Lonchura striata: one gene and its partners. The protein of the gene in region 4 interacts with the protein of the main gene of each other region in a biochemical or structural test. Links are inferred from orthologs where the notes say so. Each region holds a gene or a part of one and is shown on either strand. Other genes may lie near its edges. The genes, in order: AGXT, PEX7, PEX12 and PEX5.

Region 1 (7,229 bases), on a different chromosome or scaffold from region 4:
GCGGGACGGGAGGACTCTGCCCACCTTGCCCACCGTGGGGCCCAGGCCCCCAGCGATCTCCATGCCGTGGTTGTCCATCAGAAAGGCCGTGATGTCCTCCCAGTTGTAACCCTCGGGCACCCTGACGGTGGTGATGGTGGGAAGTCTGGCCCTCTGAGGAAGAGAGAAACTGGTTTCAGTCCCACGGCCCCTGGTGACCCCAGCGCCGTGCCAGGAGAGAGCATCACGGAGCGGGGAGATTTTTCTCTGGCATCAAAAGCTGCCCAGGCACATCTCCAGCTGCACAGGGCTGTGCCCTCACGCTGCCCCCACTCTGTGGTGCTGCTGGTGGGCTTGCCCTGCACCCACCTCCTCCTCCACAAAGAGCTCAAGCCCCATGTCGAGCAGCCCCTGGCACAGCTGGGTGCAGTTGGCCCGGTGTCGCTCCCAGGAGCTCTCCAGACCCTGTGGGCAGAGAGGAGAGAGAAGAGAAGGTCTCTGCTGCTGGCAGGCATCTCCTGGCACCCACGGCTCCTCCGAGCCCCACGGGCACTGCTGGTGCTCCCCTGCCTGCCTGGTGCCACTCACCACTTCTGCCAGCAGGGCCAAGCCTTCCCGCAAGCTGAAGAAGCTGTTGATGGGCGCCGTGTGGTGGTACCTGCAAGGGGCACCCAGGGGCGTTCAGCTTGGCTGCAGCACGGCAGCCCCTGAGGGAAACTGAGGGGAAACTGAGGCACGGCATCCCCCCTCCTCACCACCCAGTGCAGAGGGTGTGACGAGCAGCCAGGGTGATGGGGAGGCAGGGGGAGGGCGGGCAGCCCCCGAGCCAGGACAGAGGCTGGGTGGGGAGTGCTCGCAGCCGTCTGTAACGAGGGAGACCGCCCTCACCTCCTCGGCTCCCCGTCACAGCCCCAGTAGTTTGCCAAGCAGCCCACGTCCAGATAGAAGGATGGGGGCTTCGTCTTCCTCCTCAGCAGCTTCTCCCTGGCGAAACAGAGTACCGGGGAGAGGTGGGACCTAGACCCCACCAGCTCCAAGGTGGGATCAGCCCTGTGGGAGGCAGGAACTCCCCTACAGTGAATGCAGAGATTGGCTCCAGCTCCCAATCACTGCCCAGGGATGGGATGGGCTGTGCCCCCATAGCACTGCAGAGCAGGACAGAAGCAGGTGGCTAGCAAAGGAGAGAGGTGACAACCTCCCCCAGCCACATCCACCCTGCTGAGACTGGGCTGCTCTTACCTGGCTCGCTCACTGAATGAGATGGGGGCACTGCCAGGGGGTGTGTTGAGGACTTTCTGGGACCCCGAGTACAGGACATCGATCTCTGCCCAAGAGGGAAGACAGCTCCTTAGGAATCAGAGGCTCCCAGCAGGAAAATGCTGAGCCCGCTGACCTAGCTGCAAGTGGTGGGTGGGAAGCACAAGGATGGCACACATGGCAGGTCCCACTTGTTTCAGGCTGCTTTGGGAGGGCCCTGGCACTGCTGATGGTGCCCCAAGGGGAACAGGCTCTCTGGATGCATCTGGACAAGTTTCTAGTGCTGCTAGCCAAAATGCAGGCCGAGGGCCTGATCCCACTGCTCCCTGCCCCTGTCCCAGGCATGAACCCCTTTGTCCCCTGGTTCTTCATGGTGGCACTGTGGCTCTTACCCTGCTGGTCCATGAAGATGGGGGCTCCCCCAAGCGATGCCACTGCGTCCACAAGCAGCAGGCAGCCATACCTGTGGAAGGACAGAGCTCAGCCTGGTGTCCCTGCCACCTCTTCTTGCCACATCTCTGGCTGCAGCCCTGGCATCCTGGTCCCCACAGGAACTGTGTGTCTCACTGGCACCAACTGCTTCCAGCACAACGGAGCCAGAGAAGAGCTCAGCACATATAAACCCCCAGGCCCAAATCCCCGGTGGTGACCTTGGGGTGGCCATCGGGCACTGACCGGTGGCACAGCTCGCCCAGCCCCTCCAGTGGCTGCAGCACCCCTGTGGAGGACTCGCCGTGGGTGATGAAGAGCACCAAAGGTTTGTGCTGCAGCAGGCCCTGCATGACACAGGGGGAAAGTGACCACACTGGAGGTCAGCTTGTGCCCTCTGCATAGTGGCCAGCGCTCACCTGCTCAATGTCCTGTGGCGTGAAGTACTTGCCTGGGGGCTTCAGCAGCTCATAGACATTGGCTCCTGGAAGGAATTTGGGCAGAGGAGAGTGAGGTTTGGGCATGCTTCCCACTGGGCACTCATCTGCTCCATGGGGCAATTGATCATGCATGAACCAGGAGCAGAGCCACCTGCCGGAGTCTGGCCTCCTGCAGATTTGCCCAGTGGAAAAGCCATAAAGCACCATAAATGGAGTGGCATCATTCTTGGAAAAACCTGGAGTGCTCTCTGGCAGAGTGCTCTCTGGCTTTGCAAGCCATGTCACTGAGCACTGCCAGCATTGGGACAGCAAACCAGGGCACCCTGCCTTCAAGCCCAGTCCCCTGAGGCCTGCCACACCACCTGCCTGTTCCCAGCATACCCAGCCTCCTGGCAATATCAGCAGCACGCTGTCCCCAGATGCCGTTGATGGCCACCAGCACGGTGTCACCTTGCTCGAGCAGGTTGACGAGGGCGGCCTCCATGGCACAGTGGCCGCTGCCGCTGATGGCCAGGGTCAGCCTGTTCTGCGTCTGGAAGGCGTACTGGATGCCCGCCTTGATCTCATCCATCACCTGCGGCAGCAGGACACTGGCCAGCACTGCTATTGCTCCTCTTGCCCCAGCAGAGCTGTTCCAGCCCTTCCTGGGGGTGAGGAAGAGGAGGGGAGGGAAGGAAGGCTGGGCTGGGGCAGCTCACCTGCAACACCTCAGGGTGCATGTGGCCCAGGAGCTGGCGAGCGCCCGCAGCCCGGATGCGGCGGGGCACGTTGCTGGGCCCTGGCCCGAGCAGCAGCCTCTCGGGCACGGCCAGGGGCCGCAGCAGCTCCTCCGGAGGGGCAACGCGGAGCAGTCCGGTGGCCATGGCACGCCGTGCTGTCCCCAGGAGCTGAGCCCAAAGAGGAGGAGTAGAGGAGGCTGCCTGAGCAGCTGCCAGCATTGCAGCACAGTCTATCCTGTGCCAGCAGTGTCCAGCGTCCCCACGGACCTTGACCCAGTATTCAGTGCTCCCCCCTACCAGTCTGGACTCTACCCCTGGCTGCCTCCTCTGCCTGGTTAATGTGTCATCTCTGCTATCCCTGTCTTGGGCCCCTCATTTTGGGGGATGCTCCCTTCAGGTATGCCAGCCTCTGGGACTCCCAAGCACTGTGGCAGTCCTTGTCCCCGTGGCCCCCCACAATACGAGGGCTGATGATTCCCAACAGTGTCCCAGCAGGTGGGATCCTTGCTCTGGGCACCTAGATCCTGTGCCACAGGATGGCTGTGCAGAGAGACTGGTCTGGCACAGCTGCCATGGTCGTAGCTCCTCCTGCAGCAAAAAGTTCCTGTTGACCAGGGTGCCCCGACCAGGGACCTGCCCTGGAGAGTGACATCTGGCAGGGTGACAGCCTGAAGGAGGCTGGCCACTGGACTGATGTGCACCAGGGCTGTGGACTGGAACATGGACACAGTCGTTGCCACAGCGAGCTGCGCTCTTGCAGGCACAGCTGGACCATGAGCATCCCAATGTGTCCTGAGGGTGCCACAGGCCCCACGTGGGGTCGATATTCTGTTACCTGCTGTGTGTACCCACAGCACATTGCCCTGCGCCTCACTTCAGCCACATTCTCTGCCATCCACACCCTGAAATGCAAATAAGCTGCCTGCTGCCAGCTTTAGCAGATCCATGAGTGGGTCTCTGCTCAAAGGAGCCCCTCAGTGAGCAAAGCTTTGGCTAGGGATGAGAACAGGGGTGAGCACAGGGATGAGAATTCCCACCCGGCAGAACTGGCACCAGTGGCCGCTGCTGAAGACATACCAGACAGAGGCACGGGGCCAGCAACAGTGCCAGGTGAGAGCACATCTGCACCACTGAGAGGAGCTGGGGGCAGATGAGTTTGATCCCGCATGGCCGATGGAAGCCACAGTCAGCATAGGGACTGCTGCCCAGCCATCATCCCACCAAAGCGATGACGACATATCGGATGAAGAAGATCTCCCTGTCCTCTAGGGAGATTTGGGGCATGGCTGGGGCGGGGAGGGGACGCGTGGCTTCGCGGCTGCCGTGGGGCGAGGGTGGCCGTGCTGCTGGAAACAGCTGGCAGCGAAGGAATAATCCGCTTTCCGCGCAGGCTCTGGATTCCGGGCGCAGACGGGCAGGAGCGGCCGTGCCCCGGGCGGCGGGCGGGGGCTCGGGACCGGGGCACGGGAAGCGCTGCCCAGCGCCGCTCCTCGGAACACTGCGCCGGAAAACAGGGGGAGCGGTGTCCGGACCGGGTACCGGGGCACCGGGGTACCACCGGGCCGGTGCCGGTTGCCAGGCGACATCTGCCGAGCCCGCCCCGTCCCGCCCCGCCCCGCCCCGCCCCTGCGGCGGCTCCGCAGCGCGGCCGGGGCCGGGGGATGCGCTGACGTCACCGCTCCATCCCCGAGCGCGCGCTCCCGGTCCCCGCGTCCCCCTCCGGGCGGCGGCGGCCGCCAACCAGCGCGTGGGGCGGGGACCGCAGGGGCGGGGCCGCTGCCACCCGCACCGGCGCCGGCACCGGCACCGGCACCGGCACCGGCACCGGCACCGGCACCGGCACCGGCACCGGCACCCGCACCGGCACCGGCACCGGCACCGGCACCGCATCGCACCGCGCGGCTCGGCCTCATGCCGGCGCCCCCCGCCCACGGCTGAGCGCCGCGCCCCTCCGAACCGGCCGCGGCCACGGCCGCGGGCATCACAGGTAGGAGCGGGCGGCATCGCGCAGCCCGGGGCAGCCCCGCCGCGCCCCCCGGGGCGCTGGCCGCGGGGGAACCGGCGCCGCTCCGGGGTGGCGGAGCCGCCCCTCGTGGCCCCGGCGGGGACGAGGCGTGGCGGGCGGGAGCGGGATGCGCATCCCCGAGGGTCCGGCGGGGCGGGGGGGCTGCGGCCGGTGGCCATTTCGCGGAGCCCCCCGATGCTGGAAGTTGTGGGTGTGGGGAAGCTGCCCTCGGGTCCCCAGCGCGGTGACCGCCGGGTGCCGCCCCATCTTCCAGAAGGATCCAGCCGGGGTGCGGCGGGGGGTGCCTGCGGACCGGGAGACGCCTCTGCCGCCCCGGCCCCAGCCAGGGTGCGAAGGGGAAGGATGCTATCCCCGCAGCCCATGGCGGGGGACCCCTTGTCACCCCAGAGCCACCCCTGCTCTTCCCTCCAGGGCAGATGGCTGTGGTGATGCTGCTGAGCCATCTTGCGTCATCACCATCATAATGCTTCAGACTTAGACAGCAGCGCTGGAGGGAGTGGTGGATGCCCCACCTGGGGCTCTCGCCGCGGCTAGCTGGCAAGGATGCTGCGATGCTAAGGCTGCTCTTGGCCCCCAAGGACGAGCAGCTGACGGTGACCTTGCACCGTGGAGTGGCTGGACAAGGGCCGCCATGTCACTGCGGGCCGGTGCAGCGGCTGCTCGCTGTTGAAGGGGCAGGTCCCGGGGTGCCGGGCTAGTGCAGAGCTCATGCTTGGTCACGAGGCTCGCACGGAGCAGCCCTGCACCTGCCCTATTGTCTTACTCCTCTGCTTCCTTCTCCCCCTCCCCCTCCTCCTCCTCCCCCTCACGGGGCAGGGACCCCTCCCCTAGATCCCGCAGACCCCGTGTGAGCCGGGCTCCTGCCTGCTCAGGTCCCATGCGACAGCATCAGGGCTCGGGGAGGACAAGGGACCAGCCGAGCATCTCCCGTACCAGCCCACAGCCGGGCACCCTTCTGTCCCAGCGCCCAGAGCAGCCCCACGCAGGTGGCCTCTGTGGCACTGGGGGGCAGGGAGGTAGCAGACCCTCCCCCTCCCCTGGGGATGGCCAGGGGTGTGGTGGCTCTACCATCTCGGCATGCTGCTGCTGACCTCCATTTTGTCTGGGAGGTGGCAGCTGGCGCTGGCGAAGATGCTGCCACCACCCTCCACCTCCCTGCATGTGGCAAGAGCTGCAGCCCCTCAAGCCCTGGGTCGTGTGAGGATCTGTTTGCTGCCCCCTCCCTGGCTACCCTTCTCCATGCCCACCAATGCTGGGCATCCACCGGAGCTCACTGCCTTTTTTGTGCATCTTTTCCCTGCTTTGGGTTGGCGTGTCTGGAAGAGAGGATGGAGGGAGCAGGGATGGGGGGTGGGGTTACTTTGCAGCAGAGATGGGAAGCAGAACCCCTCACCCATGTCCTTGTATTTTCTACTTGTAAACTGAATCCACATGGAAATTCTCAGGGAGGTGCAAACTCTGCCTTGGGCTTGTGTCCCCTGCTGGGGTGGGCAGGAGGTCAGGAGGCACGGGGCAGGGTGCCTGTGGTGGCACTGGGGAAGCAGGGGCTGGCTTTCCTCTGAGAGTGGGGGGCATTTGCCCTTGTCCTGGGCTGTCCTTTGAGCTGCTTCCCTGCCTGCAGGTGCTGCTCTGGAGAAAACTGCACCGTCATGGCCCCTTGTCCTGTGTGGGGCGGGAGGTGGGTGAGGAGCTTGGCTGGCAGGCACTGATGGTGCCATGTCATCCAGCAACGTGTTCCCTGCTGCCCTAGAGGCAGGACAGAGTCTCGTGGTCCCACTCAGAGCTGGGGGGCCCCAACAAAGGGTGCAGGGGAAGGGCTCACCACAACAAAGGCTGGCAGCTGCTGAGAATGCACCGGTGCAGCCAAACCCTCACTGCACCGGGGCGTCCACCCTCGTGGGGCTGGATGTGTGCAGACAAAGGGAAACTCACCTTGGATTTCCCTGGGTGCAGGCAGCTCCTCATCTGCTGGAGCTGGGGGACCAGCAGCACAGCACGTTCCTTAGCCTCCTTTGGGGAAGAGCTTGCTGGTTGGTGGCACCTGGGGACAATGCTCTCTCCTGTTGGTCACCTCTCAGCAGGAGAGGCTGCCAGTTGGTAGCCCCTGGACTTAAGAGCGGTTTCATTAGCTAATCTCTGCCCAATTAATCTTAGCTGATCCAGTTAATCATGGCTCTCCAGGCCTTTTGCTCCTCACTGGGGGTGACTGGCGTGTCACAGGGATGGGCAGAGCCAGCAGGGAAGTGGGGGAAGAGATGCCCTGCAGAACTGGGGGCAGGTCAGATGTTCCCCCTGGCCCCAGGGACTTGGCTGTTCCTCCTTGCAGCCTCCCTTGTGAGCAGGGCAGCCCTGTGGGGGGCAGGGAGGGAACAGGGAGCC
Region 2 (7,004 bases), on a different chromosome or scaffold from region 4:
CAGGTCACATCAAACAGTCCATCATTCCAGTCAAAGCTAAATTGGAAAAATGAAGATATTTGTCTGTGAGAAAACATGACATAAAAGTCTGAGCTAGTTCCATGCAAAGAAACTATTTATATCACCCTTTTTACCATTCTAAACAGCATTTTTATATATTTGAGTTTCAAGTGAATCTCCTCACTATTAATTTACTTGTTTGAATGTCAATTTCTACAACGTTATGCCAGAATAGATTAAGTTAAAGCATAAATGAGCCAAGGACCTTCCACACATGAAGAAGGAACTCTTATTCCAGTCTAGAACTTGCCATGCAAAGAGGTACAACACGCCTCAGTCTGATCTATGGTTTCTCCAGAATATAAGAGCACTTTGTTTCTAACAACTGTGGTAAAGAAAGAAATAAAGCTGTGTTGGGAGGGCCTTATCCAATTCACACCACTCTGAATCTCAGTCACAATGAAAACACAACAGAAATATAACAATGAATTTACTGAAGAACTCTACACCCCCTTGAAAATGCTTTCAACACACCAACAATTCACAATATGGTATCTGATGCCTTTTATTAGTTATTTTGCGACAGCTACTAATTACTGCAATATTATCTGATGGGAAAAACTGATTTCTTTATCTCCTTTTCACTGAAGGTTTAGCTAAGCTTAGGTCAAATTTGATGGCACTCTGCAGTAATGATCAGGTGCACATGGAACACTTTGATAAACAATACAGTCTGTGGGGTCAGGAACTGAAGAGGACCTTCTACCACAAAATAAGTGGAGTCACTGAAAACAGAAATGAACTGTACTAAACCAGAGTACTTAACAGAAGTAACAGAGTGTTGAACATCTTCAAAGAGTCTTATTTTATAATTATGAATCAAAAAAGGTTTCTCAGAATATGATTAACTATTTTTAAGCATTTTCATGTCAACCACCTTAATCTAAACAATCATTGTTTCAAGACTTTCCTTAAAAAAATTTAGGTTAATAATGAACAAGTATTAAACTCCTTCCTTTCTAACCTCTCTCCTCCTTCCATCCACAACAAAATCAATCTCCCTAAAACCCCTAGAAAATTGTATCTCCTAGGAAGGACCTCCACGACTTGATGTACCTTCCTGCTCTATTTTCAGTATAAATCAATCATAAGGGCATACATCTAGGTGTCAAGGCACTATTCCTAAAAAGCTAGAACTTATAATTTCAAGCTAGGGCAGAGAAGCTCCTCTTAATGTACATTGTCAGTTTTCTACAAAATAGTTTACACCATGGAAATGATGCAATGGTGCTAGCCAGATGATTTCCCATAACAAATTCGATGCAATGTAAACATAACTTTTGTATTGTATGTAAATACAAATACATTCATTTCTATGTAAATACAAAGACCTGCATTCAGTAGTTACTTCAGAATTTAAAAAATACTTTGTATTGCTAACAATAACCAAAAGTATTTCAGTTATGCCTGGTATTCACAAGTACAGAGTTTTTATCTTAGAAAATTAAAGATAAGCCTGTATTACCTCCTGAGCAGAACAATCCCAGCTTCGTTTTGTTCCAGCACTGCCAGAGTTCCACAACCTAAACCAGCAAAATGAAACAAAACATCACAACTAGTTCCCCAATGCCAAAGGAAACTGGGGTAGTTCTGAAGTAGCTTCAGCGTGCAAAAACAAAGGGCACATGAACTTTAAGAGGCCTAACAATTACTTGCATAATTAAACATCTTGTCTTTAAAATTAATTTACATCACATTGTTCTGGTTTGATTTTGGGGGTTTTGGTGCTTCTTTTGTTGGGATTTTCTTGTGGTTTTTTGTTTGTTTGTTCTGTTTGTGTTTTTTACTGCAGTATATCTGTAGGTGAGGTTGGAAAAGACTTGCTTATAAAGCATAAAAGTGCATTTTCCCCATGGCCTCACATGACAGACATACCAACACAGAGTTGCTTTTGTCTTTTTGATAACACAGCAGACCAAACACTTTTTTCATCCCTTCCTGAATACAGTAATACAAACACAGCTCACCATAAACTAAATAAACAATTAAATTCTGATAAAATGCACATCAGTTCTGCTTCCTCATCTGATGAGGATATTGTTAAAGTAATTCTACACTTGGATTTTTTAAAAAATTAATATTTTGGAGTATCACCGGAAATGAAAAATATGCCAGTACTGAAAGACGCTCAGCTTGGCTCTTTCAAGAGACCACAGGGTCACTAGGGCCTGCCTGGACACTCGGGGACTAAGACAAAAACAGCTGAAGGCACAGAAACACAGAGATAGCTGAGCTGGAAAGGACCATCAGGGCCGAGTCCAGCTCCCGGCCCTGCACAGCACCATCCCAAAGAGTCACGTCCGAGAGCATCCTCCAAACACCTGCGCTTCTGTCCGACTTGGTGCTGTGACCACCTCCCTGGGGAGCCTGTTCCAGCGCCCAACCGCCCTCGGGATGGAGAACCTTTTCCTGGTATCCAACCTAAACCTCCCCTGACACAACTTCAGGCTATTCCCTCCAGTTCTGTCACCGGAGAAAGTTATCTTCGGACATTTTATTCACTGTGTACGCCTTTACATTTACTGTCGACCCTATCAAGTGAGCGGGTGCGCTGCGAGAAGCACCAGGGCAGCAGCGGGTTGGGAAGAGGCGATGCCGGCGGGCTGCGGAGGGCAAGGAGCAGCTCCCGCGGCACCCCCGGCACAGGCTCCGTCTCAGGGCAAAGCAAACGCAGCGGAAAGGGAAGTCGTCCCCAGACGCTTTGGCATTTGACAGACACCGTCTGTCCTTCCGCACACCCGCGTTTCCAGCCTCCTCCTCAGCCGGGCTCCCGGTCACCCCCGCCGCGCCGCCCCCCGCACCTGCCATGCCGTAGTACTGCGCGGCGGCGCAGGCCACGCGCCCCGGGCAGTATGGCGAGAACTCCACCGCGTACCCGTGCAGCCCGGGCAGCCGCAGGGCGCCCGCGCCCGCCGCCGTGCCCATGGCCCCCGCCCGGGCCTCCGCCGAGCCGCGGAGGAGCCGCGGAGGAGCCGCGGAGCAGCCGCCGCGCCCCGGCCCCGGCGGAAGCGCCCGCCCGCCGGGCGGTGCCGGGGCCGCGGCGCAGCCACCGCCATCTTTGGCCATGGCAGGGGCGGCCCGCGCGGCGGGCGGGGAGCGCCGGGCTCGGAACGGCCTTCCCGCCAAAGCCAGAAACGATCCGCGCTTTTATTCGCCACGCAGGACATAGGCCGGCTCGGTGTGTGTGCACCAGCTCGAATGCATGAGATGTTTCAGTCATAAGGATGTGCGTTAGCTTTCATTTTTCCTTTTAAAAAACACCTTCTAAGCTTTTCATTCTCCTAATTTCTTTAATAGATCTGCATATTTTATCATTCTTCTCAGTATGCAATTGGGTTTTATGGAAGTCTTTTTATGAATAAACTTCTTAACACCCGTGACAACTTCTGTTTAAGTCACTGGGAATTTTGCCTTTGAAAGGAAGAGGTGGGCAGGTGATTAGCAAGCTTAGAAAATTAGTAGCAGAGCAGCAGCTGCAGCTTTTGCCATACTACATCCTATGTATATATCTGTATCTATGTCCCTTAAAATACAGACACTGAGATTATTCCCGTTGGACACACAGCACCCTAATTAGTCACAATGACCCATCTTGTTTAAAGATAAAAATGCAAAAGTATCATTTTACACTTTCAGAAATTACAGCAAAGGTAAATTAGATTATTTAATCACAGATACCTCATGAACTTGGACCATAGTTATGTAGTCCCGCTACCTAGCCTTATATTTAAAACTAAAATGCAAAAGTATCATTTTACACTTTCAGAAATTACAGCAAAGGTAAATTAGATTATTTAATCACAGATACCTCATTAACTTGGACCACAGTTATGTAGCCCCGCTACCTAGCCTTATATTTAAAACTAAACCTTTACTACAAAGTCTATTGTAAAGCCACAAAAATATTCATTTGCTTAAACTGGCACTCATATGCAGAATTAGGCGGTTGTACTAATTCTTCAATCTTGTAATAAAAATGAAAACAAGTATATTTATTAAATAGCCTCCAGGATTTTAGAATAAAATCAGTTCAGTGCAAGTGAAGCTAAATTTAATGTATCCTTTGGATTACTACAGCAGTTCTCAAAGCCTCATAACTGGCAATTTACAGGCTGCATTTATTGACATCATGTGAGATCAGATTTTTTTAACCCTGAGGCAAAGGAATACCTTACAGAATTGGCTGCTCCGGGCCAAATTCAACCAATTTTAGCTTCTGTGGAATCTTCTTACATCAATTTTTCTTTTAAAAATGCAAGTTACAGGACAGTTTTCTGATCAAGTGTTTTTAAATTAATTGCCCTTTGTGACTGGAATGTCAGTAGCAATTCTTGAAAAGACACAAGGCCACCACAGGGGTACAGTAAGCAAATTTGGACATTGCCATTTACAAGGTGTCAGGGAGTCAGATGCTTAATGGTGTAAAGTGCCGTTACTCTATAGACAATTTATCACTGAATTGGAACAGTTTCATCAAGTGCATTTTTTCCAAGCTGGTAGATCTTTCGTAATGAGTGAAATTCTCGAAAGAGGTTATACAAGCAGGAACCAGTTCTTATCAGTGGCCCAGCTTTATTTTAAAGACACAATTAAAAGAATTTTCATAGACATAAATATCAAGAAGTGGATAAAAGGTTACAAGGAAGTCCAGAGAGAAGGACTAGTTCTCAAACATTTTTTTCACAGATAAACTTGTGAATTCTGGTTTTGAAGATCCAGGAAGTAGAAAGCAAAATAGTATGGTCAGTGAAAGTATTTGAACAGGATGGTTTCAAGCTAGAATAACGACAAAAGAAACAAAAGCTATTTTACAGGCAAAGAGAGTAGGTCCCAACAAACGAAGTTGCTAAACACGACTCTATTTCCTCCTCAGCCTCTGAGCAGCTGAGTAAATTCAAGAAATATGAAGGACCACCAATCATAGCAGCATTTTACATGCAGCTACTGAAACCAAATGATCTACCAGCCAACTCCTTTCAGCTAACACCAAATCACAGAATCACAGAATTAATTAAATTGGAAAAGACTTCTGAGATCACTGAGCGCAACCTATGCCTGAGCACCACCATGTCGACTTGACCATGGCACTCAGTGCCGCATCCAGGCTTTTCTTACCTACCTCCAGGGACAGTGATGCCACCACCTCCACTGGCAGCATATTCCAATGTTTGATCACCCTTTCTGTGAAGAAATCCTTCCTAATATCTGGCCTAAACCTCCTGGACTCAGTTTGAGGCCATTTCCTCCCGTCCTGTCAAAAGTTGAAGGGGAGGAGAGCCTGACCCCTACCTGCCTACACCCTCCTTTCAAGGCGCTGTAGAAGTCGATATGGTCATCCCTGAGCCTCCTCATCTCCATGGTGAACACCCCCAGCTCCTTCAGTTGCTCCTCATCAGACTTGTGTTTCAGAGCCTTCACCACCTTTGTTGTCCTTCTCCGGACTTGCTCCAGCACCTCAAGGTCTGTCGTGAACTGAGGGGGCCCCGAACTGGACACAAGACCTGAGGTGTGGCCTCACCAGCCCAGAGGGAGAATCCAGCCAGATTCTTCCAAACAGACGGATCCTGCATGCAGCAGTAGATGGCAGCCATGTTCCACGCAAAAAAAAAAAAAAGAGTCCTCAGTTGAAGGAAAAAAATCCCCAACTACACTGAAATTCAAAACACAATATAATTCCAATTAAAAACGGGAAAGTTGCGTAGTATGCAGTTTTCAGCTAGCTTTATGCAGCTGTCACTTCTCTATGCTCTGCTCGCAGAAGTACCCTCCTCGTTAGCATTAGAGTAAGTGTTTGGGATCCTTACTGCAGTATCTCCACCCTTTCAGACCCAAGAGCTCTGCTCTGTTACAAACACGTCTCTCATTTCCTCAGCTTGCTAGCTGACAGCCAGTTTAGGTGTGAGCTGAGCTGGCAACCATCATTGCTGTGTGCACAAATCCTTCCAAAACCCTTGATGGTCATCAGGAACAGTAATCAGAAGGGCTCGAGTCCAAGAGTTTGAACAACTTATAAGAAGAGCTTTTCTACCAGAGAAGGTAGAATGTGAGCTATTTCCTCATGTGCAAGGGCAGGTAGCTTAAAACACTGAAAATATTCAAGGAGAGCAGTTAATTTTTGTCTGTCTTTTAAACTATTGAACCATTCCCTAGGCTCCATGCCATCAAGATTTTCTTCCACAAGTGAATGCTTATTGACCGATAGAAGCATAGAGATGTTTCCAGTTGAAATCTTCATATCATCATAAAGCTGAATGTGTTGCAGCTTTAGAAAAAGCATTTAGAATCCCAAGGTTCATTTAAGATTGAAGAACTGGCAACATTGAAAATAAATAAATAAAAACAACCAATGGGATTGCAGTAAGGAATGCAAAGGGAAAAGACTCCCCTTATATGTCTAAACTGAGGGTTATGGCATTTGGAAGGAAGAGGCAGTTAGCATGGAGGTTTTCTGGAAGTTCAAAAGAATAAAAGAAGCAAGAGGAGGGAAAGACACTGGAGCAAATGAAGATTTAGACATGGAGATTTAGAAAGAAATGTGAGAATTATGAGGAAAGAGTATGAAGCAAGAACAGCACACAATCTTCACCATTCTCACAAGAAAAGGGCTACAAGGAAGATCCTGACTGGTGAAATATCCATCCCTGATGATGTATCCACATTGTTCGGTCAGGTTTTGCTGGCTGCCTCCCATATGCACCATGCTGTAATTTGGTAAGCAGATTCCCCATGTTATTCCTATTCCATGATCAGCTGCATCCCTACACAATGGCCACCAGTCTCTATTTACCTTCTGCCCGCACTTAAATATTGTTTTAGATGTTCAGTGTGACTATAAGTGTACCTTTTCTTAAAGACTGGCAGCTGCCTGCCTCAAAATACTGCCTTCTCCCTGCTGAACTTAGAAGTTACTTCTCATTGTCTATAGTGATATACTTAGTCTAATT
Region 3 (6,946 bases), on a different chromosome or scaffold from region 4:
TGCTGGTCTTCGATTTGGATAAGAGGAATGTAGATGTGAGGATCAATGTTTCCTCCCTTTCAGCTGGTCTTTTATGGCACTTCAGTGCTGGCTGACAGGCAGGGGCTGTATGATCCCTCTGCAACTGCCAGGATGTTTGAACAGCTTATCAGCAAAGGGCAGAGCATTGCCAGGGTGTGCAAAGGCAGCAAAGCTGACCAACCACCGAGTCCAAGGGCGCTGCAGAGCTCACCGAGGAGCTGCGGTGCTCTGAAGCCTTCCAAGGGATGCACAAAGAGGTGCTGGAGACTCCTGGCAGCCCTTCAGCTCTCAGGGGAGTAGAGTTTGACCAGGTGCTGCAGCTCTGTGGCATAGCCCGTGACCGGGCAGCGCTGGTGAGCCTTCACGTAGCCGTGGGCGCAGCGGTAGCAGAACACGAAGCCGGAGGTGGCCAGGGCCGTGGCGTTCACGCGGACCTTGCGGCACAGGGGGCACACGGTCCTCAGGCTGGGCAGGAGAGCAGAGCCGGGCTCCTGCTCCAGGTGCACGGGCGGTGGGGGCGTGGGCAGCGCTGTCAGGGACTTGATGGTCTCCTGGTTTTCTGAGGAGTACCACCAGTCCAGGAACTGGAGGAAGAACACGCTGACGGACAGGCCGGTGGACAGGGAGAAGGCAATGCCAGCCAGAGCTTTCCTCAGGGCCAACTGCACTCGTGAGATAAAGCTGGAGCAGAGAGAAGCAGGAGAGGTGGTTACTACTGCACATTTATCCATCTAGAAACCATGGGAAAAGCACCTGGGGAGTGACTGCTTCACACAGCTCCTTAACGCTAAGTTAGTTGGTCAATGCGTCCCCCTATTTGCACTTACTAGGATGTTTCAGATACTTTTTTTATTTTAAGGAATATCCAAATGCTGCTTTTTTGAGAAGTCTAAATCAGAAGAATTTGGATTAAAGGATCCTGGACCACAGAGTGTTTCACTCCTGCATCACAGGGTATTGAGTGTGCCCATGACTAACTGCTGCTTAGGAAAATCAAAGAAAGAAGTTTCAATCCTTTCAGCAACATTGCTGCAACTGTTGCACCTCCTTTGCTGGAAAAGTGCAGGGGAAGACTGAACAGAATAAAGGCTTCCATGCCCAAAAACGCCCCCAAATTCTGAAATATTACCACAAAATAGTTTAAAGCTAATCCCTGCTACTGGTTTACTTATTTTCACTCACAATACATCCTTTTGGAGCACATTTTGTCAAGAGCAAACTTTCATCTTGAATTTTTGGAGAACAAGGCACTTGTACTTGCAGCATCATCTCTAAATTTACATGCCCACAGAACCCCCTGGAGAGCAACACCTGAGCCAGGTTCTGCCATACCTGTGTGTTTGACTTGAGGTGGTTTCAGCCCATTTCTTCTCCAGGGCCTGGATATCCTCTGCAGTCAGCCTGACCAGGCGGACACCAGCCAGCTTTAGCATGGGGGAATGATGCTCAGCCTTGCCCAGGATGTAGCAGAGCTGCTGGATAAGAAACCAGCCCTCCCAGGTCATGTTTACATAGGGGTAGGCAGCTAGAAAGGCTCTGTAGAAGCGCTTCCAGGATGAGGAGGGAGGGTGGATGGAGTACTCATCCTCCTCCCTCAGGCTGGACACCAGTTTCTCCAGCTTCCCTTTCAGATAAGGAACAAGAACCAGCAGGAGCAGAGACTTCCAGTGCTGCCTCTTTGGCAGGCCAGCTGTGGCCAGAGGTCGCTGTCTGCCATCTCCCATTGGGATCCTCTTCATGCTGTAGAAGTTCTCAGAGAAGGATGCACTGCACCTGGCCAGGGAGTGCTGCTGGAGCAGCAAATCCAGAAGGACATAGATCTCATCAAACCAGTGCCAGAGGAACCCATACCGGGCAGGATTAGACTCAGCAAGCACCTGTTGGAAAAGGGACACAAAACAGGAGGAATCAGAGTGGTCTGGGCTGGAAGGAGCATTATAGATCATGCGGTTCCAGCCCGACACCTTCTGCTATCCCTGACTGCTCCAAGGCCCGTCCAATCTGGATTTGAACATCCCAGGGATGGGGCAGCCACAGCTTCTCTGGGCAGCCTGTGCCTGAGGAAGGGAAGGATGTAAAAAGCAGAGTAAAGCGCTAAATTATAAATCAGAGCAGCTATAAACGATGCCTCTCATTCTCACCATGTTATAAACGAGAATTTATTCAGCCAGATTAAAAATAAAAATAATTTTATTTGCGGTCAAATTCTATCTAGCCAGCCACACAGAAAGGACAGAGCCGAGCCCGGGATCGACCCTGGGTGTGCAACAAGGAGTCAGCCTCAGCAGAGGTTTTCTCCTATGCCCACACCTCCATCCTGGTACAAGCGGTTTTTATAGGGAAAATTCCGCCTGAGGCCAAGATTCCAGCAGTTAGTCTTTTCTTCTATTCAGAGTCTATAGGTTAATAAGATTTTCTTTTTTTGGTGATGAGGAGAAATAATTCAATGTCCGGAGTAGTTGAATTCTTGATGAGAGTTTACGGGAAGGCTGCATTCACATGGATCTGTCTGAGGATTTCCATATCCATCTTGGACGATCAGCACCGATGATCAACACCTGGAGCCCAGCCATGGCCCAGCTCCTGGCCGAGCCACATCTTTTTACTTATAAATCAGTTTCCAATATACACCCAGTCTCGCCTGCAAGGGTGCGGGGCGAACTAATACGACGGGCATGATTTAACAAGTATTCAATATTACATATTTCATACAAGGAATGGCGCAAATTATATTTATTACACATAACAACCACAATTCAGGTGGCTCCCAAGCGTCCCGCTGCCCCTGAGCGCGGCCGGAGTCACACGCCAGCCCCCCCTCCTCTCCCTTCACCCGCGGCCCGCCTCGCCCTCACCTTGACCAGGTGCTGCAGGGCGGGTTTCACGGCGGCCATCAGGCTGTCCTGGGCCACCGCCTCGAACACGGACGGCCGCTCCTCGCCGGCCGGGGCGGCCGTGAGGTGCGCGCCCAGCTCCGCCATGCCGCCGGCCCGCCGCCCCGCCGCCAGGGGGCTCTCCCGGAAGCGCGCGCCGCGCGCCGCCGCCGCTCTATGGTGGCGGGGCCGTCGCGAGCCCGCCCGGCCCCGCCGCTTCCGGTTCCGCCGCCGCCGCCCCCGCAGCGGTGAGTGCGGTCCGTGAGGGGGCCGGGGCTGAGGGCGCTGGGAGCGGCGGCCGGGCGGCGGGGAGGGGCGCTGGTGGGGAATGAGGAGGGGCTGAGCGGGTGCTGGGAGGGGATCTGGGAGAGGGGAGGGCGGCGGTGGGGTGCTGCCATAGGGTGGGGAGGGGTGGGTGGGGGAGAAGCTGTGAGGTACTGGGGTGGGGCGGGGAGAGAGGGATGCTGCTTAGGGACGATGGGAGGGGATACTGGGGGGCACTGGTATAGGTGGGAAGGGGATACTGGGAGAGATGAAGGGTACTGGGAGGGACACCTGGGGTGGGGTGGGAAGGGGCACCAGGGGGGTACTGGGAGGGGGTGAGTGCTCCTGGGAGGGGGAACTGGAGTGGCGTGGGGAGAGTCGCTGGTCAGGCACTGGGAGTGGTTCTGGAGGTGGACTGGAAGAGGATGGGAGGAGTGGGCAGGTGGTTGCAGAGGAGGTGGAGGGGTGAGGAGTGGGGTCAGTGGGTCCTGGGGTGAGGTGGGGGTGCTGGAGGATGGACTGGGATGGGAATGAGCACAGCAAGGTACTGGGGTAGCAGTGGGAGCAGTTAGGGATAAGGGCTGGGTACTAAGAGGGACTGGCAGGCAATGCTGGGAGGGAAACTGGGATTTGTGGGGAATGTGCCTGCAGCTGGGGGATCCTGGGAGAGATCTGGGGAAGGTCTGGTGGGCAGGGGGCTTAGGGGGATGCCAGTCTGGAGTGTGGGTGGGTGCTGGGAGTCCTGCTGGAGGTGTGGGAGGGGCTGGCAGCAAAGCTGGGATGGGGCTTCCAAGGAATGGTGGTAGGTGGTAGGAGGAACAGGTGGAATGGGGACCACCAAGGGGGTGTTGCGTCTCCAGAATGGGAACAAAATCCTTGTGCCAGCACAAGTTCAGGGCTGCAGAGCAGCTCTTCCTCTGCCATCCATGTTCCATTGTTGTGTTTATCTTCCTGGTTCTCCAGTGGCCCTGGGCCACACTTGGGCTGTCACACAGCTCCTTGAGAGGCTTTCCAGGAAAAATGGGTGGCACCACTTACACTGGAATTAAACCAGGGATCAGTTGAGAGATTTAGGGATTGATGGTTTCAGTGTCCAGGAGCTTGCCTTAATCCAAGACCCTTAAACCTGTCACCCTCCTGTGTGGGGTCAGTGCTGGGGAGCGGGTGAGGCTGCCTGGGGTCATGTGTGGGGTCAAGCAGGTGTTGGTCAGACACAGGGTCAGGTTTTCTGTGTGGGTTGGGGCTGAGGAGGCTTATCTTGCTTTGGTTCAGCCTACACTGAAATATCAAGCCACTGTTTGTAGCATTAAGCATTGCTGGAGCTTTCTGGAGCCATTCCTCATTCTCATCTCTTCTCCTTTGCTGGGGTTGGATCAGGAGGAGCCTTTTGCTGTCAGCTTTGAACACCTCTTACCTGTTTCCATCTCAGCAAGTGCTGGGCATAGAACAATAGTGAGGAGGGGCAGTCTAAAGTAGATTTTTCTTCTGAAAATACAAGGCTGTTCTTGATGTTCTAATTTACCTTAGCTCTCCTGGGTTTAGATTTGCGTACAAGGAGCTGGCATTTTCTGCAGTGACACAAACAGCAGTGTTTTAAATATCTGGTTCCATTTGCTGTAAAGAATGCTGAGATTGTTAGTGATGAGATAATAGCCAGTGCTGCTGGCAGGCTGTCTCTGAACAGTGTGCAAAGCAAGCTCTGACACACATGAAGCAGCAATCTGTGTGCTTGTGAGAAAAGGAGCTTTACCCTCTGCTGCACCTGGAATAGGGCAGGCTGGTTGTTGACCTAAGCTCTCATTTAGATCCATGAAAGAAGGTTGGAAAGGCATGAGCTGTGCTTAGCCCTGTCTGAGCGTTTCTAGGATTCTTCATGTTTCCAAGTATATGAAAGGAGAAAAACAGCAAAATATGTTGCACTTGAGGTTTAACAACCATCTCTGAAAGCCAGCAGGGTTCCTTCCTCTCTGTGTGTGGCTTTATTCAAATGGGCTGATGTTTATGGTGTTTGGGCTGGGTTTTTTTTCCCTCCCCTCCATTTTCTCTCTAATCTGCTCTGGCCCCAGTTAAAGCTGTGTTAGAGCAGCTCAGCTGAGATGTGACCCTGGATGACAAATCCCCACATAATGCAAACATCAAGGCCACGTTCAGTGCTTTGGGCATGGCACTGTGCCAAATACTCTCACAGAGAAAAACATTTTAAGTCTTCCTTTTAAGCTGAGCTCAAACCTGAAGGACTCTGTCAGCAGTAATATTGCAGCTGAGCACAGGCTCTGATTTTAATTACAAAACAAGCTTCACAGCAGCCTCTGCTTTCAGGGGGGGCTGTTAGATTTTTGCTGGAAGAATTGCATTCATTGTGGCTCACATGGCTTTCCCAACTCTGTTTTGGAAGGAGGTTAAACCTCCTCTGCACCAGGAATGTGTTTCCAGAGCTGTCTCCAGGCTTGGCAGGAGCAGAAAGGGAGAGAAATCAAACCAAACCCAGTAATTCAGCCTAATTGGATGAGGTGGAAACCAGGTGGGCACAGGGCAGGCAGCAGCTCCAGGAAACTGGGAAAAGCAACAGGTTGATCCTCATGCAGATGTTTGGCAATTGGAAAGGATGATCCCAGGAGAAAGGGGTGGAAATTGGGGCATTGCCCGTCGGCAGCTGCTTGGAATTCAACTGCTGAGGTGTTCAGCTGGTCCAGGTGGATGGGGAAAAATGGAATGGTGATGGCATTGGGGTTGGTGAAGGGATGAGGGAGGAAGGAGTTAAGGAGGAACAATCTGACTTTGCTGCTGGGCAGTCCTGGAGTTCAAAGCTGTGCTGGTCCTTTTGTTGCTGAGCCAGCAAGACCTGCAGGGTTTAGAGGCAAGACAAGGCAGCATTTAGAGAACAGATGATTTACTGCTTTGCTGGCAGCCTTTAAGGTCATGGAAGGATGTGTAAGAAAAGGGGAATTTGGGCCAGAAAGATAGAAAAAGGAGGAAAGAAATTATAACATCCTTTTTGAGATGGTTTTAGGGTCATAGTTGCTAGCATTGATAAAGACTTTCATCAAAAGCAGTAAAAGTAGTCACTCCTCTGGTTGTTTTGAGAATTATCTCATATTTGTCACAGAGCTAACACTTGTAAGAATAAAATGATGGATATCCACATGAATCCTGCTTGGGCAATCCCTGTATTCCAAGGCAAGAGAAGTGCTGGTGAGACCACTCTCATGGCTCTGCTGAGTGTTTGCTGCTCCAACAGCATTTTTCCATCCTGTCCACAGGAAAAAAAAAAAAAAACAAAGCAGAAGCAGCACTGAAATAACAAGCTTTGTGTGTGTGTTTCAGAGGTGGGATGTCAGATCTTGGCAGAGAAATATTTCAATTTCAAGCCTGAGAGAACTGAAAAGTAATGGCTTCTCTTTTCAAAAAAAACCACTGTTTTGCATCTGGGAACAAAAGGAGGGAAAGGAATGAAAGGCCTGGGGGTGGGTGTTGCAAGTGGGGTTAATTGTGCCTTCCATCAGATGCAAGCACAGGCAGATATCGTTAGGGGGAGATGAGATGACAGTTTTCTTTGTCTGAAACGTGGACTTCTCACTGCCAGGCAAGACACTGGGTGTGCTTTTCCTTGGAAAATGAATCTGTGTACCCAGGAAGGACAGCTGCAGAGCATACCAGCATCTGCTGGTTATAAGGAGTTCAAAAAATGCCTTTTGCCTGCTGAGACTGAGAATTTAGGAAGCTGTGCTGAGCATCAGTGTTGTGTTTTTACCAAGCCTTTTAAATCCCTAGCTTTGCCAAGTAATACC
Region 4 (7,736 bases):
TTCTACCTTTGTTTATGCTGACCTAAAAATCAAGCCTTTGATTCAGACTGTGAATTAATACAGATGCCACTGTGGTGACGATAAATGTATGATTTTCTACTTTAATATCACAACGTATTCATCTGCTCCCCATGGGATACTATGTAGGTCAAGAAAATTAGCAATTCATTAGAAGTCTCTGTCAAAAGCACAGCCTAAAAGCACTAGGTTTTCATCAGAACTTTCTCTAAGACCTTTGTAACTTCTAATTTATATTCCCAGAAATGTAAAGAGTGGAGGTCAAAGAGTGGAACTATCCAGCTTTCTACAGTGGCCACTCCTAGAGAGGAAAATAGCATATGTTTGATTCTTTTCCATAATTTCCAGATTAGGGCATGTATGGTAACAGGACCCTATTCCAGAGCCAGTTCCATACACAACACAGGATGGCTTTTCAAATAAAGCTTAACCTTTGAGCTAGAAACACTCACTTTGCACACTTCTAGGCTGTAACATCCCTCTACCTTCATACCGCTGACACACAATATTTGGCCAAATCACATTGGAGACAATTTACCTTTGTACCAAAGGCAATTTAACCTTACAAGAGGGAATTAGAAAACATGTAAGCAAGAAGCAGTACAAGGCCATCTCCAACTTGCATCAGTTAAATCATAGTTTTTATAAAAGCAGTTTAAATAGCATGCTTCTCCTAAATTCCCTAAGTAGTCTAAGCTAACAACAAAAGACCCTTACACCTAAATAAAAGCTTCCACACCACATTGCTCATATTTTGACTTAACCATAACACCAACACAAAGCAGCTTTCCTACCCTCTACCCCATTAAGGCTGCTAAAGGAAACACTGACTGCTGGACCCAAAGCAATACTCTAAATTCACATTCAGTAGCTCTCCCCTACACACAGGCATGTGACTGGACGTCATCTTGACAGTAATTCCAAAAAAGGACACTTCACCTGTCACTTCAGCAATGAACTCCTGTGACCAGTCAGCCTCATTGTAATCTGAAGAGACATCACCAGCATTATCTGCTGCAGCCAAGAATTCCTGGGTCCAGTTTTCAGACAGTGCCAGGGCTGCAACACCTGGAGCTACATAAGGAAAAAAAAAAATTAGAAGTGAGGCCTGGAGCACTCAAAGGCACCATTTACGTGTTCCAGGCTAGCCCTAATCACCTCTGATCTTTCTCTTTGTTAGAATAAATTCACAGAAATATTCCACTTGGAAGGAGTCTCTGGAGGTTGCTAGAGTTCTCACAGCAGATTAACATATATACATACAGAACATTTATCAGGTAACTTCTGAATTTGTCCATGGCTGGCAATTCCCCAGCCTCCCTAGATACCTGTTCCAGTAGTGAACTGCTTCCTCCAAGGGAAGAAATGTTTCCACACACCTAGTCAATTCCACTTGCCACAAATTGTGTCCATTACTCCTTGTATTTCTCCTGACTCTTACTGTGAAGATCCTGACCATGGCTGCTGAAGACAGCAACAAAACATTCTACCTGCTGCCCCTCAGGCTCCTCTTTCCCAGGTTAAAATGTCCAGGACCCTCAGCCTTTCCTCTTATGACATGGATTCCTGTCCCTTGAATATTTTATTGCACTATGATGAATTTATTCCAGCACATCAGCATACTGGGAAGCCCAAATCCAGAAACAATACTCCACATACAATCTCAGAAGAGCTTAATAGATAGGAACCACCCTGCTAGGAGCCTAACCATAAACATCAAGACATTTTCCAGTCTCCACCTACTTCAGCTCCCCTCACCTCGCTGAGGGGCCTGTCGGAAGCTTGACTGTTCAATCTCTTGCATCTCAGCCAACAGGTCATCCATCTTAAAGGTCTGGGGTGCACGGGACAGCAAAGGGGCATTCTGAGCTTGCAGAAACTCTCCAACCAGCTGCCAAAGACAGAGATGGATTGCAAACATTGCGCAGAAGATGAACAGGCAGAGACGTGGAGTGTGAAAGAAGGGCTTGTCAGAAGAAAATATTAGCATCAGGTAAGGGGTAAAATAACAAACAGTGTTGATGTGAAAAGCTTTAAGAAGATTAATCAAAAGCTATAAGGAGAAGAATTAATCTCTCCTTACCTCATCTTCGGTGGCTACTTCCAGTGGTTTGGATACCTGCGGGGAATGGTGGGCAATTGTGTCAACAGTTTTGATCCCATGTCCCTCTTTACACACACACAGTGTGACCCAATTAGATCATATCTTCCTCTTCCTTGAGCTCAGCCTGTCAACATTTTTCTTGCACTAGCTAAAGTAGCAGGAACACTTTGAGGGATCCTGTCCAACCCCCTCCCACTACTGTCTGGCTTAGGGCCTGTGACAGCAAGGCACACAGCTCTCCACAGCCGCCAGCATCCCCGAATGCCCACAAACACACCCTCACCCCCAACCCCGCTTCGGGTGGCGGGCCTTTTTCTGAAAAAAGGCACAACACGACACCAGCTGCGCGGAGAGCCACCTGCCCTGCCGACCCCAGCCCCGGCAGGACCCAGCGAGCGAGCAGAGCAGAGCAGAGCAATACTCACGGCTGCGGCTTCGGGCGTCCCGGGGGGCCAGCCCAGGGAGCCCTGCAGTCCTTCCTGCCGCAGGGCCTTGTCCTGGGTGAAGTGTCCCGCCAGCTTCATCAGGGGGTTGGAGCCCCCGCACTCCGGCTCCACCAGCTCCCTCATGGCCATGGCGCCGCGCACGGAGCGAGGGAGGGCCGGGCCGAGCCCCGCCGCGCCTGCACCTGGCAGCGGGGCGGCACGGACGGCGGCTGAGCGCCGGGCCGAGCGCCCGCCTGACCCCGGCCCGCCCGCCACCCGCGCCTCCCCGCGGGCCCGGCCCGGCCCGGCACGACACCCGCCTGCCCGCCCGCCAGGACGGCGCGGCCGCGGCCCCCAGCCCCGCGGCCCCGGCTGTCCCCGACCCTCGCTGCCCGGCGCGCTCCGCCCGCGGGGCTCCCCCGCCGCTCCGTACCTGGGGCCGCCGCGGCGCGCTGGGCTGCGCGGCGCGGCGGGGCGGGGCCAGCCTTAAAGGCACAGCGCCGGGCGCCCCGAGCGGCGAGCGCCGCGGCCACCGCACCGCACCGCACCGCCACCGCACCGCCACCGCACCGCCACCGCACCGCCACCGCACCGCACCGCACCGCCACCGCCACGGCACCGCCACCGCCACCGCACCGCCACCGCACCGCCACCGCCACCGCCACCGCCACCGCACCGCACCGCCACCGCACCGTACCGCACCGCCACCGCACCGCACCGCCACCGCACCGCCACCGCACCGCACCGCCACCGCCACGCCACCGCCACCGCACCGCCACCGCCACCGCCACCGCACCGCCACCGCACCGCCACCGCACCGCCACCGCCACCGCACCGCACCGCCACCGCACCGCCACCGCACCGCCACCGCACCGCCACCGCCACCGCCACCGCACCGCCACCGCACCGCCACCGCACCGCCACCGCCACCGCCACCGCACCGCCACCGCACCGCACCGCCACCGCACCGCACCGCACCGCACCGCACCGCACTGCCGGAACCCGCGCCCCCGGTGGCTCCCCCGCCGCGCACTGCTCCCGCAACTCCGGAGCCGCATCCCGAGCGGCGTGCCCCTCTGCCGGCCGTGAAACGGTGTGCCTATGTATATGGTGTGTACTATACACATCCTATTGTATTTGCATAATATACATAAACATGTATATATATTCATATATATGTGTGTGTATAGATATTCATATATATATTCATATATATTCGTATATATTCATATATATTCATATATATATAGTAATATATATTAATATGTATCTTATATATATGTTATATATATTCATATATATATATAGTCATATATATAGTCATTCATATATATGTATATGTATGTGTGTATATATATATATAAGATATATACATGTTTGCACCATACCCATCTTGTTTTATTTGTGAATATACATAAATATATACGTACATATATATATATATATATATATATATACTCAACGAGGTGTATATGGTACATATGCATAGATGAGCATATACTGTATCAGTACATATTTGCCCAGCTGGTGGATTGATATTTTACTGTCTGCTCTGGAGTCGCTAAAATGTTTCAGCTGGCAACTACAGGTTGGGAATGCAAACATTTAGCTGAAAAGTATGTGACGCCTTCAGACAAGGCATAGAAATGTCAGCTCCTTTCCAGCCTTGATTCTTCTACATTTGTGGTTCCAAAGGACAAACCACCTGGAAAATCAAAGGTCATTTGTGTGTAGCCTCTAAAAGAATGGGAAAAGCGCCAAGAGGGGGTTGTACAATGTGTGCTGACTCCCGTGACATTAGGTTCCTAGAAATAAATCATTTTCAGAATCAAATCCCATCTTCTTCTTTTCAAAGGAATATGCACCTCTGCAGGGTCCTCTCCAAATTTGTCAGGTTCGCTTCATCTGTCCAAAATGTGACATCTGGTGTGGTTTTAGACACAATTCTTTGGCAGTAGGTCTTCCTGCCTGCTCTCCTTACAGCTTTGAAATTCATGTAGCATCTACAGCCAGTTCTGTACTAACAAGCAGTATGTATGGCTCAACAAGGACTATACTTCTTAAAGTTATAAGAATTTGGGCTGGAGATACAACATCCACACCAAACATGCTTGGGGAGCTTTAGTCTGGACTATGTCTTCTTTGGTCTCATGGAAGCACCCCAATTAGTGGTTGATGTGCCCTATGTGCAGCTCAGCAGCACCAAAAAGGAATCTCGTTTGTACACCGAAGCTGTCCTGCAGGACAAACCCCAGCCCAGCAAACAGGGATCACTGGAAGATTCATTTTGAAAGCACACTTGTGGCATCCTGGAAGGTTAAAATAAGACTCACCTGCTATTACTAGATACCAAATCCTATGTATACTCAGTGTGATCAAGGGTTAGCAAGAACACTTGAAGAGATAGTACAATAGACCAATAAATAACACAAAGACACGGAGAAGGGGAGTGTAGGCATTGAGTTAAGGCATGGACAGAAATCCAAAAGCCATCACAGACTTGGTGGGGAGGAAGAGATGAAGTAGTTTTGACTTGTAATATTTGCAACAAGTTTTTGGGGTATACCCATGACACCAGCTTGGCCTGCTGGTTCAGATCAGGGACAGAGAAACACTGCTCTATTACAGAAAGCCCCCACAGCCTTCCTTCTGAAGGGCTGTATGGCCCTTTATCCCTTAGAATCTCAAAAGACTTTGATGCAACTGGAAGGACCAGAAGTGGCTGTGGTGGCAAAGCATCCAGGACAACCACAGCTATAGTTGTTGGTGGATAAGTATCCTGCTGAAGCCACAGCTATTTCTGCTTGCAGGCAGAAATCAAAGGATCTGATCTAAAGTCAACAGGAAAAGAAACAGAGTCAATGCACCTCTACAAGTGAAGTTTAAATAATTTGGCAGCAAGAGCTAAAATATCAGGGGGGCCAAATAACTCTTGGAGGGATGAGAGAGGCAAATAGTACAGCTCCTGAAAAGGCTATTCCAGGCTCTGCATCCTTCAGCTGTTCTGAATACCAATACTCTGGTAAAGGTGCTGATGGAAACCAGTGACAAAATGGAAGTCTCTGTCTAACTATTCGTCATGCTAACTTTGTGAAATTCATTATTTCTTTCCAAGTACAAAACTTACATGCTTTTATTAAATCTACACTTTCAGGCTATTTCTCCCATTGATCAAGATCATTTGTATATGAATTTTTTTCTACCAAATCCTTTGCAAGACCTCTCAGGTTAATGTTGTCTGCAGATTTTAATAGACACAATTTTCTGGTCCACTGTATAAATTACTGGGGAAAAAACCACACTAATAGCACACTGAAAACATATCTCTGAAGGACTCCTTGATACTTCTTTCCATATAGACAGCATAACATCAAAAACTAATCTTAGAATTTTCCAATCAGCATCAGGCTCTCCCAACAGTGATTTCAGTAGATCTGGTTTCCCATGTTTCCTAATGTGCTTGTTAGACTGCCAGATAATAAAGAGTAAAAATCCTACTGAAATAAAAAAAATTAGTATCTATTGTTACTTCCTTGACCACAAGGACAACTCTGCCATGAAAGATTGGTTTAACTTGATCTCTTTTCTCTGCAAATGAAAACATGAATTGTCTACATATTTATTTGTTCCTGTATCACAGGGAATACAGTAAAATGATGCTGGCAGGCCAGTAATTAATCAGGTTTCCTTTTTTAAAATGGCCAATATATTTGGCCTATTCCAGTCTTCTGAACTTCTCCATTGCCTAAGATATCTCAAAGATAATGGCCAGTGGGCCATTCTCCAATTTTTCAGTTATTATCACAGCATGAAGTTCATCAGCCCTAATTGGTCTGAAAACCTTGACTTTGCCTAAGTGCTTAGAAATCTAGAGTACTTTTTTCCCCACTTGCAACTGGTGCTATTTAAGATATTCACCTAGCCACCACCACAGTGAAGACAAGTGAAAAATGCTTGGAGCTTCTAGGTATCTTTGACTAGTTTCCAATTTCACTGACCAGAAAGCCAGTCTTTGTACTGGTCTTCCCCTAATTGCCTAGGTAGTGAGAAGCACTATTGATAAGCTGATAGTTCTGCTCTTTTCCACCGCAGATAAGGTACTAATTTCCTTTTCAAAGAATCTTTGTACTTAATTTGACTCTGTTGCCATGTGTCCCTTAATTCCTTCTCCTCCAGACTAAAAGCTACAATTTTTTTTCAATCCTTCTGCTTCAGTGGCCAAGGTAGTTATTCTCCTCTGTGAATTCACTTCCTACATTTGTTTCTGTTGTAGCAGCATTGTACCCAAACTGGACACTCAGTCAGTCCCGTGTCACTCAGTGCTGTGAGTGAAATCACAGCAGTATAGAGCTGTTCTGACAGCTCATTTCATCTGGCCTACAGGCTATCCTAAACACATAAACTGATCTGATATGTGCCTTTTTGGCAACAGCATCATGTTGATGTACATTCTGCTTTTTTTAAGGAAGATGACATTCAATGAACTCTGATGTGCTCTGAAACTATGCATTTTAAAAAGCAACAAAGGATCTTTTGCCCCTGAATATTCCCTTTCTCACACTGATCCTCCAAACTTTGAAGTCATGGGTCTAATTTATTCAGACGGTTGGGGTTTTTTTGTGGAGAGCATTGGCCCGTTTTCATATGAACCCAAACATCTGAAGAAGCATCTGTGGTCCCATGAGCGAGGACGAACATCAAGAACCACTTGGCTCTGCTCTTGGACCCATCGCTTTCCCGTGGTCAAAAAAATCAGTTTGCCTTGGCTCCCCTACATGCAAAACAAAGATGAGCTTGTTTAAGTTTGGGGGGTCGGTTTAGAGGCTTGGGGAAGGGAATGATTCCATTGTTTTTAGTGGAAGAGCCTTGAGTGGCCGGGCCAAAGGAGCTGCGTGAATTTTCACGCGTACCTCCGCGCGGAGGAGCCCCGGCTCCCCTCGCAGCGCCCCGCCCGCCGCTCCCGCTGCCGCCGCCCGGGCGCCTCCTCCGGGCGGGCGGGGGCTGCCGCGCCGGGGCCGGGGCCGGGCGGCAGCGGCGGGGCCATGTCGCAGCACAGCACGCTGCTCCACCTGCTCGCCGGAGGGTGAGAGCTCCGGGAGCCGGGCGGGGGCAGGAGGGCGCCCTGGGGCGGGATTCGGGCCGCGGGTCCAGCAGCAGCCGCCGCCGGGAGCCGGGGCAGAGCGGCGCCC

The links.
Region 1: the proteins of PEX5 (region 4) and AGXT are reported together in a solved structure, tested with the Homo sapiens proteins (2 studies listed by BioGRID and IntAct, with this or other methods). The link is inferred for Lonchura striata from reciprocal best matches to the Homo sapiens genes PEX5 and AGXT.
Region 2: the proteins of PEX5 (region 4) and PEX7 form a complex in vitro, tested with the Homo sapiens proteins (3 studies listed by BioGRID). The link is inferred for Lonchura striata from reciprocal best matches to the Homo sapiens genes PEX5 and PEX7.
Region 3: the proteins of PEX5 (region 4) and PEX12 form a complex in vitro, tested with the Homo sapiens proteins (2 studies listed by BioGRID). The link is inferred for Lonchura striata from reciprocal best matches to the Homo sapiens genes PEX5 and PEX12.

The regions. Positions count from the first base shown.
Region 1 is NC_134612.1:4,677,551-4,684,779, reverse strand, and holds the start of AGXT (alanine--glyoxylate aminotransferase), read right to left. Parts: upstream 3,017-7,229; 5' UTR 2,969-3,016; coding exon 2,804-2,968; intron 2,680-2,803; coding exon 2,487-2,679; intron 2,150-2,486; coding exon 2,085-2,149; intron 2,013-2,084; coding exon 1,912-2,012; intron 1,700-1,911; coding exon 1,629-1,699; intron 1,304-1,628; coding exon 1,219-1,303; intron 964-1,218; coding exon 868-963; intron 638-867; coding exon 568-637; intron 445-567; coding exon 349-444; intron 154-348; coding exon 25-153; intron 1-24. UniProt on the Homo sapiens protein: Peroxisomal aminotransferase that catalyzes the transamination of glyoxylate to glycine and contributes to the glyoxylate detoxification.
Region 2 is NC_134605.1:50,688,000-50,695,003, reverse strand, and holds the start of PEX7 (peroxisomal biogenesis factor 7), read right to left. Parts: upstream 3,003-7,004; 5' UTR 2,986-3,002; coding exon 2,862-2,985; intron 1,584-2,861; coding exon 1,526-1,583; intron 37-1,525; coding exon 1-36. UniProt on the Homo sapiens protein: Receptor required for the peroxisomal import of proteins containing a C-terminal PTS2-type peroxisomal targeting signal. Specifically binds to cargo proteins containing a PTS2 peroxisomal targeting signal in the cytosol.
Region 3 is NC_134622.1:5,984,644-5,991,589, reverse strand, and holds the start of PEX12 (peroxisome assembly protein 12), read right to left. Parts: upstream 3,020-6,946; 5' UTR 3,003-3,019; coding exon 2,877-3,002; intron 1,899-2,876; coding exon 1,354-1,898; intron 703-1,353; coding exon 303-702; 3' UTR 1-302. UniProt on the Homo sapiens protein: Component of a retrotranslocation channel required for peroxisome organization by mediating export of the PEX5 receptor from peroxisomes to the cytosol, thereby promoting PEX5 recycling.
Region 4 is NC_134604.1:29,894,217-29,901,952, reverse strand, and holds the start of PEX5 (peroxisomal biogenesis factor 5), read right to left. Parts: upstream 3,004-7,736; 5' UTR 2,981-3,003; intron 2,771-2,980; exon of another isoform or gene 2,751-2,770; 5' UTR 2,698-2,750; coding exon 2,548-2,697; intron 2,138-2,547; coding exon 2,102-2,137; intron 1,910-2,101; coding exon 1,777-1,909; intron 1,093-1,776; coding exon 958-1,092; intron 1-957.